Linked DNA regions of Xenopus tropicalis. The protein of the gene in region 2 binds, or shares a complex with, the protein of the main gene of each other region. Links are inferred from orthologs where the notes say so. Each region holds a gene or a part of one and is shown on either strand. Other genes may lie near its edges.

Region 1 (5,938 bases), on a different chromosome or scaffold from region 2:
ATGGAACATCGGCGTGCTGATGAACCATCTGAGATGGAGAGGGTAACAATACCCCTTGCACAAACTGTCACTTTCCCTAAGGAATCGATTGTTTTCTGTTCCATGCTGCTAAGAATAAATTGAAATGATTGAATTGAGGATCAGTAATGGTTTATTAAATTGTGAGATGACCAAAGGTACCATGAATTGTGCACTGTTTCAGAAATATCTTCAGGAAAAAGTCCAGTCATTTGTCTATGAGCCAATCCTTTCTGGGTTCTGGCAGACAAAAAACAAAATTAGTTTTGTATAAGCCTAAGTTCTGACTTAAAATAAGCAGTTTATGCACAAAAACCAATGTGCATGGATGAAAGCAATGCTACAAGGAAGAGTGGGCTAGAAATCCTTATCAGCCATGTAAAAGATAAATCAAAGCATTTGGTTACAGTTATTGTATAAAAAAGTGCTGCAACCAGTTAAGTTTAAAGGAAAACATACCTTTAGAATGAATAGTTAACCAACAGATTATATCATATTAAATGGCCTATTAAAGAATCCTACCAAACTGCAATACATATGAGGAAATAATGGCCTTCTACATCTTTTTCTTTGAGCCACCATTTAGTGATGGGCTGGGTGCTCCCTCAGAGATCACCTGACCAGAAATAATGCAGCTCTAACTGTAACAGGAAGTAGTGTGGGAGTAAAAGATAGAACTCTGTCCATTCATTGGCTGATGTGACCTAACTCATAAATTGTATGATCCCATGGGGTAGCCTGTAGTACTTAAAGGAAATGTAACACTAAATGTTTTTAAGTAAAAACACTATTCTACCCTGCCCCAATAACTGCCCTATCCTGCAAACCACTTAGTATTTTAAATGCTTTAATAGAAAATACCTGCTAAAACTTGGCTTCCTCTCAATTGAACTACAGGGATAGGGCAAAAGGAGCTGCATCCACTATGCGACGATCGATTGATCGAGCCTAGCCTGACTCCTTCCATACAGAAAGAAGGCTAGGCTCGATCAATCGATCATCGCATAACATGCTACTACACATTTTGTATGAAAATGGTTGATCTAAATGAAGTACAGTTTTACAGCTGCATTGTGCCATATATATTTATAGAGACCTACATTGTTCAGGGGTATGGTTTTAATTTAAAGTACACAGAAGATTTTGATCAGATATTATCTGACCCAGCACAAGATCGTGTAGGATCATACCAAACCTGATCCCCACAGCTGTAACACAAATCAGATCAAATGGTGGGTTTTGTCCCTGCATCTACATCACACAATGTGTTTCAATGAGAGAAAAGTATTTCAGACGCCATCAGCTTTTATCTTGAATAAACGTATCTCTGAGCTGCAGCACAATCCAACACTGCCCATTTAGTACAATGTATTCCTGCATTAAAAGTCTGATAGCTGCTCCGCCAGCCCCTCCACTTGCCTAAATGCTAAGCTAGAGTTTCCCAAACTGTGACTAGTAAGGCCATGGAGTCTCTGCTGCCCATGTGTCGTGTGTAGCCACTGTGCGTCTGTATAATGCTCCCTGAATGCAGCCTTTCCTACAGGCCAGTTAAAGGCCACTACTATAACGCTAACGCACCTGTTCACAGGTAGAGAAATGCCTTTTAAAAGTATGGAACAGGGCCCTGGGCAGGTGCTGCTGGCTATTTAGCCTGCCAGCGAGAAGCTCTAACAGTGCGAAGATACCCATAAGCCTGCCAGGTATTTAAGAAACGTTACCATTTCCCACATCGGTTACGGGCTGAGGCCTCCCCCAGCCACACTGCTATTCAACATTCCCGCCGCAGTACGACCCTGTAGTTAAAGGCGCCCCGCGCAGTCACGTGGTGCTATGACGTAAACCAGCAGGGGCTTGTGGGTAATGGGAAGTAGTCACTAGAGACGCTGAGACCCGGTTATGGCTGCTGGCGGAGCGGAGGCGCACTCTGGGGACCCGGAGGAAGATGCTTCACAATTACTGTTTCCCAAAGGTACGTGATAGAGCTCAGGCCTATAGTGTAGCCCCCCCCTTACACCCCCGGATGTTCCTGCACACACTGGCGGGATGCACAGAGCTCCCAGCAGCAGCAGAACACAAACGCCTGCGGAAAGATAAAGCCCAAGTGCTACCGCCATCACACTGGGTCCTCTCTCTCCCCCCTCATTAGCCCATTGCCATTCAGTACCCTGAGTAACCCATAGGCTGCTATACGTTTATCATAGCAGCTGGGACAGAGGGCTTTTTATCCCATGTTTTACTGTACGTGCAAAGATGTTTGCGAGCACTTTGGCTACTGGGGCACCTTTGGGGGCACAGATCTTCCCTGCTAAAGGGCTGTGGTTGCCTTGGGCTGGTACAGAAGCACAAAACATTTCTAGCCTACTTCTTATAAGCTTTTCTTCTTTTTTTTAAAGGTGAATTAAACCCTTTAATTGTTTAACTTGTATGACCCCTGCCACCACCCCAACTGCCAAAAGCCACCTGTTCCCTGCCCCCCCATATGAGTATGGGGGGGGGGGGCATATGAATTTCAAATATCCTTACTGCTAGCACGGGTGGGTCCAGGTGCACATGTCCCAGACCTTCAGCAGAGGGAGTTTACAAGGAACACATTTGCAGGTTGGGACCCAACCAGAAATCTTTACAATCTTATACAAAACAAATTCAAATGCCTTATGCGTTTTGTGTTGCCAAGACACACAATCATAGGCTCAATTGATTAAGTGCCTCTTGGCAACACAAAATGCGTAAGGCATTTGTATTTTGTATTCATAATGTAAAATGTAATTCTACAGACTGTAATAACTTATGGCTTCTGGTTTCAACTAAGTGGTCTTGATTGGTGCCTGCAACTGATCACTAGTGAGGAACATGGCACCCGATGCCAGGAAAAGGTTGGCACTCAGTATGCCTGTCACCTTTGTGCCTGGAACCGGAAGTGACTCGGCCACCGACTCTGCTTTCTTAAAGGAACAGTAACACCAAAAAATAAAAGTGTATAAAAGTAACTAAAATATAATGTGCTGCTGCCCTGCACTGGTAAAAGTTGTGTGTTTACTTCAGAAAGTCTACTATAATTTATATAAATAAGCTGCTATGTAGCCATGGGGGCAGCCATTCAAAGGAGAAAAGGCACAGGCACATAGCAGATAAAACACTATTGTATTCTACAGAATTTATCTGTTATCTGCTATGTAACCTGTGCCTTTTCTCCTTTTTTCCAGCTTGAATGGCTGCCCCCATGGCTACACAGCAGCTTATTATATAAATTATAGTAGTGTTTCTGTAGCAAACACACCAGTTTTACCAGTGCAGGGCAACAGTGCATTATATTTTTATTACTTTAAAGCTCTTTCATTTTTTGGTGTTACTGTTCCTTTAACTCTTCATGCTGTCCCTGTCTTCTGCAGGAATGGGTGTAGGTGTCAGATGGGGCTAATAGGGCAGGTTTGGGTAGATATTACAGTTGTCAAATGTGGGTGCCACTCAACACCAGGAATGGGATGTAGGTGATAAATATTTATTGTTGCTCTGTTTTATTGTGCAGTATTATTTGTGAGTGGGGAAGGGGCGGCAAGGTTTGAAAGAGAAAGTTTTGTATAGAAAAAACAAATAGCTGCTTAAATGTATGCATTGATTGCCTATGGCAGGGAAATCTCTTAAAATATTGGCTGTAATATATTCCGTCCCTATACCAGTTCAGGCCTTTACATGTCGGTTTTGCTTCTTTACATTGTGTAGAGTTTGAGAGTGCTGAGACTCTGCTGAATTCGGAGGTGCACATGCTCCTGGAGCACAGAAAGCAACAGAATGAGAGCGCGGAGGAAGAACAGGAGCTCTCCGAGGTCTTCATGAAAACCCTGAACTACACTGCCAGGTTCAGCCGCTTCAAGAACAGAGAAACCATTGCCAGTGTCAGAAGGTACCTGTCCTATTCCCCACTACATGCAATGTGTGCCTTGAGCTAGCTGCATGGCGAGGGCGCTGTAGTGCTGGCTCTCCTTGTGGCGCCCAGCAATAGGACCATCAGGATAAGATTTTGGGGAGAATTATTATGTTACTGTTTCCCTGCTTGTGGATCTGTAGCAGTGTGACTGGTAGGACCATGTTTTAAAGGAGAATGCAAGTCAAAATGTAAAAAGCATACTGCCCAATAGTCCTCCTATTGTTTAGTAAAAACGCCACACTTTTGGCTCACCTAATCAAATATTTACTCAGTCACACTTACTTCACATTTTCTAGAACAGGCAGCCATCTCTAAAAAGGTATTCTCCCTTCCTTTCCCTCCTTGCTTCATACTGCACATGTGTTTCATTCCCTCCCCCCCTCCCCTCTGCCAGATCCGCTTCTGATTGGCTGGTGGGCATGTGTAGCTCAGAACAGGAGACAGGATCAAGTTACACACATACTCGGAGAATAGGAAGGCTGCCGCTGGCACCTACAGGAAGGGGAGAGAGATTTCAGTGATGTCACTGTAGGCTTCACACCGCTGTAGGCTGCCAGCACCATATCTCAGAGAAGCAAGCAGGGATCTGGGAATTTAGATATGCAGTAAGTACTTAAAAAAATGCCTTTAGACTTCCTTTTAATTTATATTAACCTTTCATTGTCCTTTAAAGGATTATTAAAGGTATTTATAGAGGTTAATACCCCTGGAGAGCCACCCCTCACCTGATATTGTTGCCCCACTTTCCTTACCCCTTCACACTGGCTGGGGGTGCCATCTCATGCTGCTTCTCTTCCAAGTGATTGCTGCCCGGGAATATGCACAGTGAAAGGCTAGCTCCTTTGGCTTCATCTGCACATGTTCCTGGTGCAAGTTTGCTGCAAAGTTGAAGCAGTGCAAGATGGTGCCCACTAACCCCACTGCTTTTTCTGAACAGTTAAGGCACCAAGTGCAGTTGTGCCATTTGGAAGGTGGGTTGGATTTCTCCCCGGGGGCTGCTAACTTGTATATATGATGTCTTCCTTAAAGAAAAACTGTACCCCCAGAATGAATACTTAACAATCAGTAGTGTGGGAGCAAAAGGCAGAACTGTGTCCATTCATTGGCTGATGGGGCCTAACATGTATGTGTGCCTTGGCTTGTTTGTGTGCACTGTGACTCCTATGATCCCGGGAGGCGGCCCTTAATTCTTAAAATGGCTATTTTCTATTTAGGATTACCCAATAGCACATACTACTAAAACCAAATATATTTTGAAGAAAATGGTTTTATTTAGATGAAGCAGGGTCTTACATATAAGATTGTTTATGCAGTCCTGATTTTTATGGTGTAATTTTTTATTTCTAAATTACACTGTTTACATAGCAAATAATTCACTCTACCATTTAAATGTTATTCTTGAACCAACAAATGTATTTTTTAGCTGTAATATTGGTGTGTAGGCGCCATCTCAGTGCATTGTGCCTGAGTCTGAGCTTTCAGAAGGAGCCAGTGCTACACATTAGAACTGCTTTCAGGTAACCTATTGTTTCTCCTACTCCCATGTAACCGGAGGAGTCCCAAGCCGGACTTGGATTTCTTACTATTGAGTGTCTATGAAGATTTTCATTCATCCAGGTCATGGTATATCTAGTATAAATAAATTTAAAGCAACTGGACTTGTTTAGTAATCATTGAAGACGTTTCACTACTCATCCGAGCAGCTTCTTCAGTTCAACTGACTGGTATGGGAAGTCCTCAGCATATATACTCTTCCACTAATCCAATCACAATGGCACTTTGTAACTCTTCAGAAAGGTGACATCTGAAACTCACAGAGGTGTGCTATTCTGATATTTACTGGGAGCTGCTATCTTGCTCCCTTCCCATTATTCTACTGATCGGCTGCTGGGGGGTGGGGTGGGGTAGAAGCTATAACTGCCAGGTTGAACAGGGACAGTCAGGTTTAGGAACTTCAGTTACTTGAAAAAGCAAATGATCAGCATGGCCTATGGG
Region 2 (5,359 bases):
CTTATAACATTCATGGATAAATGTGTAAGGTCTTACAAGTTCCATGTACTTGTGGTAAAAGTTGAAGACATTCTACACTGTCTGTGAGCTTAACTGCAATTTTAACTTTTAAGTGTTGTGTAGCATGTAGGGATAAAGAAACATTTTCTATAGTTCAACAGCATTCTCCTCTCTAACACTTCCTCCAAAGTCTCCAATTTTGCTTAGTACAGAGCCTGATTTCCTTATCACCTTATTAAAGAAGAAGGAAAGCTACTCAGGCATTTTATTGCCAATAGATTAGTCACAAAAGTGCAAGCTAGAGCTTTATATTTATTTTGCAGGCTGCTTTACCATACCTGAGTAAACAGGTATGGTTTATTTAAGAAAGCAGCAGCCATTTTGTCCCATGCAGAAATTTAGTCGACCGCAATAGATCTCTCCTACCATGGGCGACTAATCTCTCCAAAATGCATTTCCATCGTCAACAGTACAAATCACTTCAGTTTTCCCAAGTCAGGCAAAGTTGCCTGCAGGAGGAAACTTTACACAAAGTTTAGACCAAAGCAGAGCATAGATTGTAAAAAGCACTTGAAAAGTAAAAAAAAACATAACTCTTTCATAGCTATCTGCCTTCCCCAGGTGAGCATACATCATGTTTAGCAAAATAAAGATGGGGCAGAAAGGCTTATTTTGGAAAATCAAGTGATTACTCTGCTACTAACCCTGTTTTTTTTTTTTTTTTTAAGGAATTTGATGCAATTGGACGTGAGACCCCCCTTCCTCCTGGTATCTACAATCTGGATGACCTTAGGACTTTGGGTAGACAAAAAGGCTGGTGTCCTTATTACCTTGCCCGACATGCTGTGAGTGTCTGAATATTTCTCATGCAGTCCTAACTTGTAGAAGATATAATTGACTAGTATATCTGAATAAATGTTTGTGTTTTAAATTATGTTGTGTATTTTTGCAGCTCGGACAGTGCAATGTGGTTGTGTACAGCTATCACTACTTACTGGATCCCAAAATAGCTGACCTTGTCTCTCGTGAACTTTCCAAGAAATCTGTTGTTGTCTTTGATGAAGCTCATAATATTGGTAAGTGATAAAACTGAACTTACCTGTCTATTTCACACGCCTGCAAAATTAATCTGCCCTCTTACTCTTTAGATAATGTCTGCATTGACTCTATGAGTGTCACCATCACACGCAGAACCCTGGAGCGCTGTCAGACAAACATTGAAACTCTCAACACGGCAATAGAAAAGTAAGGGATGTTTTGTGGAGGACAGAAGAAAATAAATTCTTGCATAATAAAAAAACTGTTTTAATAGAAGTAAAACTGGTTAAATAATGGGAGATAAATGTGAAGGGTACATTCAGAAAATTAATGAAAAAAAGTGGATGCGAAGGAGAGCCGGTAATAGGTGAATATTGAGAGAAAAGGTAAGGGAGAACTGTTATTCTTTAGCTTTATTTTTGTTGTTTTCATAGAATAAAAGAAACAGATGAAAAGAAGCTGAAGGAGGAGTACGCTCAACTGGTGGAGGGATTGCGGGAGGCCAGTGTTGCAAGGGAGACTGATGTGTACCTGTCCAACCCTGTCTTACCTGATGAAATTCTGCAAGGTAAGAGAAGTTGTGCTGTTAATTTAGTTTTTTTCTGTAAACATTAAGCCTATCATGCTCTTCAGGAGGCTGCACCTGTTACTCCCCAACTTAGTTCAAACCTTTTCAACAGCCTTGTTCACTGGACATTAAGCTGTTTGTTGATTAGTTATACATTTTGTATAAATACTTTATTGAACAGCCAAAACTGTTTTTCCTTCGCTACTGAAATGACTAAGGACTGACTTTCGTGTTGTATGCAGAGGCTGTGCCAGGCTGCATCCGTAATGCTCTCCACTTCCTGGGTTTTTTACGACGATTAGTGGGCTACATCAAATCACGTCTACGTGCAGGCCATGTAACACAAGAGGGCCCTGCTGCCTTTCTTCGTGACCTTTATGAGAAAGTCTGCATCGAAAGGAAGCCAATGCGGTAAGGGTTGAGTTGTTGATTACAAAGATAATGCCTAGTAAGTATTACTAATGTGTTCAGAAATATCTTATTTAAATTGATGCAAAACTTTCACATATAATATTTTGTTATACATAGCCTAAGAAAGATTTCACAACAGAAATTTGCTGGGCTTTCTGTTACTGTTGTATTAGTTGAGAAAATAATTGAAACTGCATTTTGCAGCTGGTTATCTCCAGCTGAAGTTCAAGCTCCAGAGGGCTTTGTAATTATCTGATGTTCTGAGTCACATGGCTGTTTATTTTCTTTGGCTTACTAATGACCTTTGTTGCTTAGATTGGGGGACACAGGCACTATGGGGCTAAAGATACAGGAGAGTACACACGGAAAGGTTAAAATTGACTTCTTAAGAGCTTTGCCCCTGCTACCTCCCTTAATCCTTAGTTTCTCTTAATGTGCTCAAAAGGAGAAAGGACACATGGTGGCTCAGGAATAAAATAGTCAGGACTATGGTTATAGGTCATGCCACTAAGGCCTAAAAATAATCTCCCAAATGACTGGGATCTCTAGTTTCCACTCTCCAGGGGTCTGCACTGGTTAACACTCCCAGAGCAACATTGGGGCAAACACTTAGATGGTGTGGAAGGATTTTTATCCTCAAGGTACCTATGCCCCCCATAGTAAGTGAAGAGAAAGGGATTTAATGGTAAGTACAAAAATTGTTCTTCTAGTAACATTTCTTTATAGTGACCTCCTGTACAAATTGAGAAATACTTAAAAGGGATAGTTCACCTTAACCCGAGTACTGTAGTATTTTTTTTAAACTCTGTCAACTGTAATCTGACTGTTCCATTTTTTTCAGTACTCTAACAACCAGTCAGAGGTTTGCAAAATGTTTGATTTTTATGTATTTGATAGAGATGATTATTAAAGAGCCTGAAAATAATGATATGCAATAAGATAAGAATTACAATAAAACTAAACTATGGGTTTTTTGTTTTTGTTGCTGGCGTCCATGATCCCTGACAGTTAGAAATAGAAATAATAATGAAAACAGACATAATATTAAAATTACTCATTGAATGAATGAATGATGAATGAATAATTCAAAAACCATAAAATTAACTAAGACAAGTTTAAATGTTGCTTGAAATAGGTTAATTTATAATAAACTAATCTACTAAAATTAAAAAAAAAATGGGAATTTTTCCCTTACAGATATTAAATCTTTTGCCTTTTAGGTTCTGTGCAGAACGGTTGCGTTCCCTCACACGCACTCTTGAGATAGCTGACATTACAGACCTCTCTCCTCTTACCCTCATAACCAACTTTGCTACCCTTGTCAGCACATATACTAAAGGTATTTTCCTCACAGTTGGATTCTGTGTATTCTTGCTTGCCCTTCCCATCACCTCTCTTCCTACAAACCATTTTATTTCCCTTGTGAACCATGTCTCTGTTTTCTTACAGGTTTTATGATAATTATTGAACCATTCGAGGACAGAACACCATCTATAAGTAATCCTGTGCTGCACTTCAGGTTACTAAATATTTTTCTCCTTGAAATGCCCATCAGTGCTATTCTTTCCAATTTCTTACTTTTTGCCAATTTTTGGCTTAATATCTTTTTTTTTGGCTCGTAGGAATGATTTTCTGCCTCTAATTCCTCTTTCCACACACACATTCATACAACTTTTTTCAAAATACAGATTCGGTGCGCAGTATTTTTTTTTCTTTGATCTTTCCAACACAATCTTTCTTTTTTCCCTACTTCTAGTGCTCCTGTAGTCTGGTCAATGTTTCTCTTGGTGCCCACTGTCCACCTTTTCAAAGCCAATTTTCCTTCATTTTTTTTCAGCTTTCTCTCTTACAAAGACTGTATACTCTAGCCGTTCTTGTTTTTATCATTAATTTAGCTGTCTAGATTCTTCCCTTGCAATTAAACCTGTATTCCAGAGATTTCAGTCTGTCATCATCACGTCTGGGGTAAGAATTTTTTTTTTTTTTACTTTTTTATTTTTCAAATTTTTCTTCTAATCCTGTGTAATCTATTCTTTTTTAAAAATGTGACTTTTACACAACCAGACCCTCTCTCCTTTGGATATCTACCCCAAAATTTTGGATTTTCGCCCTGTTACTATGGCAACATTCACAATGACCTTGGCCCGTGTTTGTCTTTGTCCTATGGTAAGAAAAGGTTATATATTGCATATGATATCTTTTATACATAAGAGGTAAATAGTGAAGGCTTACTTGCAGTTGTTTACTGTATGCTGCAGGTCGTGGGCCGTGGGAATGATCAAGTGGCAATGAGTTCAAAGTTTGAAACAAGGGAAGATCTAGGTAAATAACATATTGAAATCTGAAACATCCTTATTTGTTTTAATGGAAAACTAAAGCTTTAGTTAAAGAAGCCGGCTAGAAATGTTGTACATTATGTTTTGGGGTTTTGTACCAGCCCAAGGCAACAAAAGCCTTTTGGCAAAGAAGGTGGTGTCAGTTACTAAGCTTAGGGCCAAACTCACAATATACTGTATACATACATACAGATATATTATGTCACAGTATAAGGCTGATTAGTAATTTATTCAGTTTACATGGCAGACTGAAACCAGTGCAATTAGCATCAGAATGCCCTGTAGCATCAGCCTCATTTTCTTCTTAAAGGAATACTGTCATGGAAAAACATGTTTTTTTTCAAAATGCATCAGTTAATAGAGCTCCTTCAGCAGAATCCTGCATTGAAATCCATTTTTTAAAAACCCAAACAGATTTTGACTGCACCTGCATTGCCAAAAGTGGTAGATATCAGAATAGCACTCTGTAGTAAAGAATCCAAGTCTGGCTTGGGACTGCTTCAGCTAAAAATAGCTTATCGGAAAGCAGTTCCAATATGTGGCTCCTTCTGAAAGCTCAGACTCAGGCACAATGCACTGAGATGGCTGCCTACACACCACTATTACAACAAAAATTTTTTAAAATTTGTTGGTTCAAGAATAAAAGTTTAAATGGTAGAGTGAATCATTTGCTATGTAAACCGTGTAATTTAGAAATAAAAAGTACGCTATAAAATCAGAGAGAACACAGGTTTATATTTCCTTTAATCATACCCACACTGTACAAAATCTCTATTCATAATCATCTCATGACTTTAATATAAATTATGCATGGGGTTGGTGGGGTTCTCCAGGTGGAGAGTTGTTTTTAACCTGAACTGTTTTCTTAATAGCTTTTTTTTTAATTTCTGCTTGTTCTCTGTGTTCTGTCTTACTTCTCTACTCTGCAACCTGCAAACAAATAGCTGTGATGAGGAATTATGGGAACCTTTTGCTTGAAATGTCTGCTGTGGTCCCAGATGGAATA

The links.
Region 1: ercc2 (region 2) and polr2d share a complex: the UniProt entries of both Homo sapiens proteins name them as parts of the TBP-based Pol II pre-initiation complex. The link is inferred for Xenopus tropicalis from reciprocal best matches to the Homo sapiens genes ERCC2 and POLR2D.

Annotation. Positions count from the first base shown.
Region 1 is NC_030681.2:125,370,591-125,376,528, reverse strand, and holds the start of polr2d (DNA-directed RNA polymerase II subunit RPB4), read left to right. Parts: upstream 1-1,901; 5' UTR 1,902-1,914; coding exon 1,915-1,987; intron 1,988-3,738; coding exon 3,739-3,919; intron 3,920-5,938. UniProt on the Homo sapiens protein: Core component of RNA polymerase II (Pol II), a DNA-dependent RNA polymerase which synthesizes mRNA precursors and many functional non-coding RNAs using the four ribonucleoside triphosphates as substrates.
Region 2 is NC_030684.2:70,778,624-70,783,982, forward strand, and holds part of ercc2 (TFIIH basal transcription factor complex helicase XPD subunit), read left to right. Parts: intron 1-728; coding exon 729-845; intron 846-952; coding exon 953-1,076; intron 1,077-1,148; coding exon 1,149-1,245; intron 1,246-1,472; coding exon 1,473-1,606; intron 1,607-1,848; coding exon 1,849-2,017; intron 2,018-3,237; coding exon 3,238-3,356; intron 3,357-3,466; coding exon 3,467-3,536; intron 3,537-3,912; coding exon 3,913-3,982; intron 3,983-4,081; coding exon 4,082-4,183; intron 4,184-4,275; coding exon 4,276-4,339; intron 4,340-5,297; coding exon 5,298-5,359. UniProt on the Homo sapiens protein: ATP-dependent 5'-3' DNA helicase. Component of the general transcription and DNA repair factor IIH (TFIIH) core complex, not absolutely essential for minimal transcription in vitro.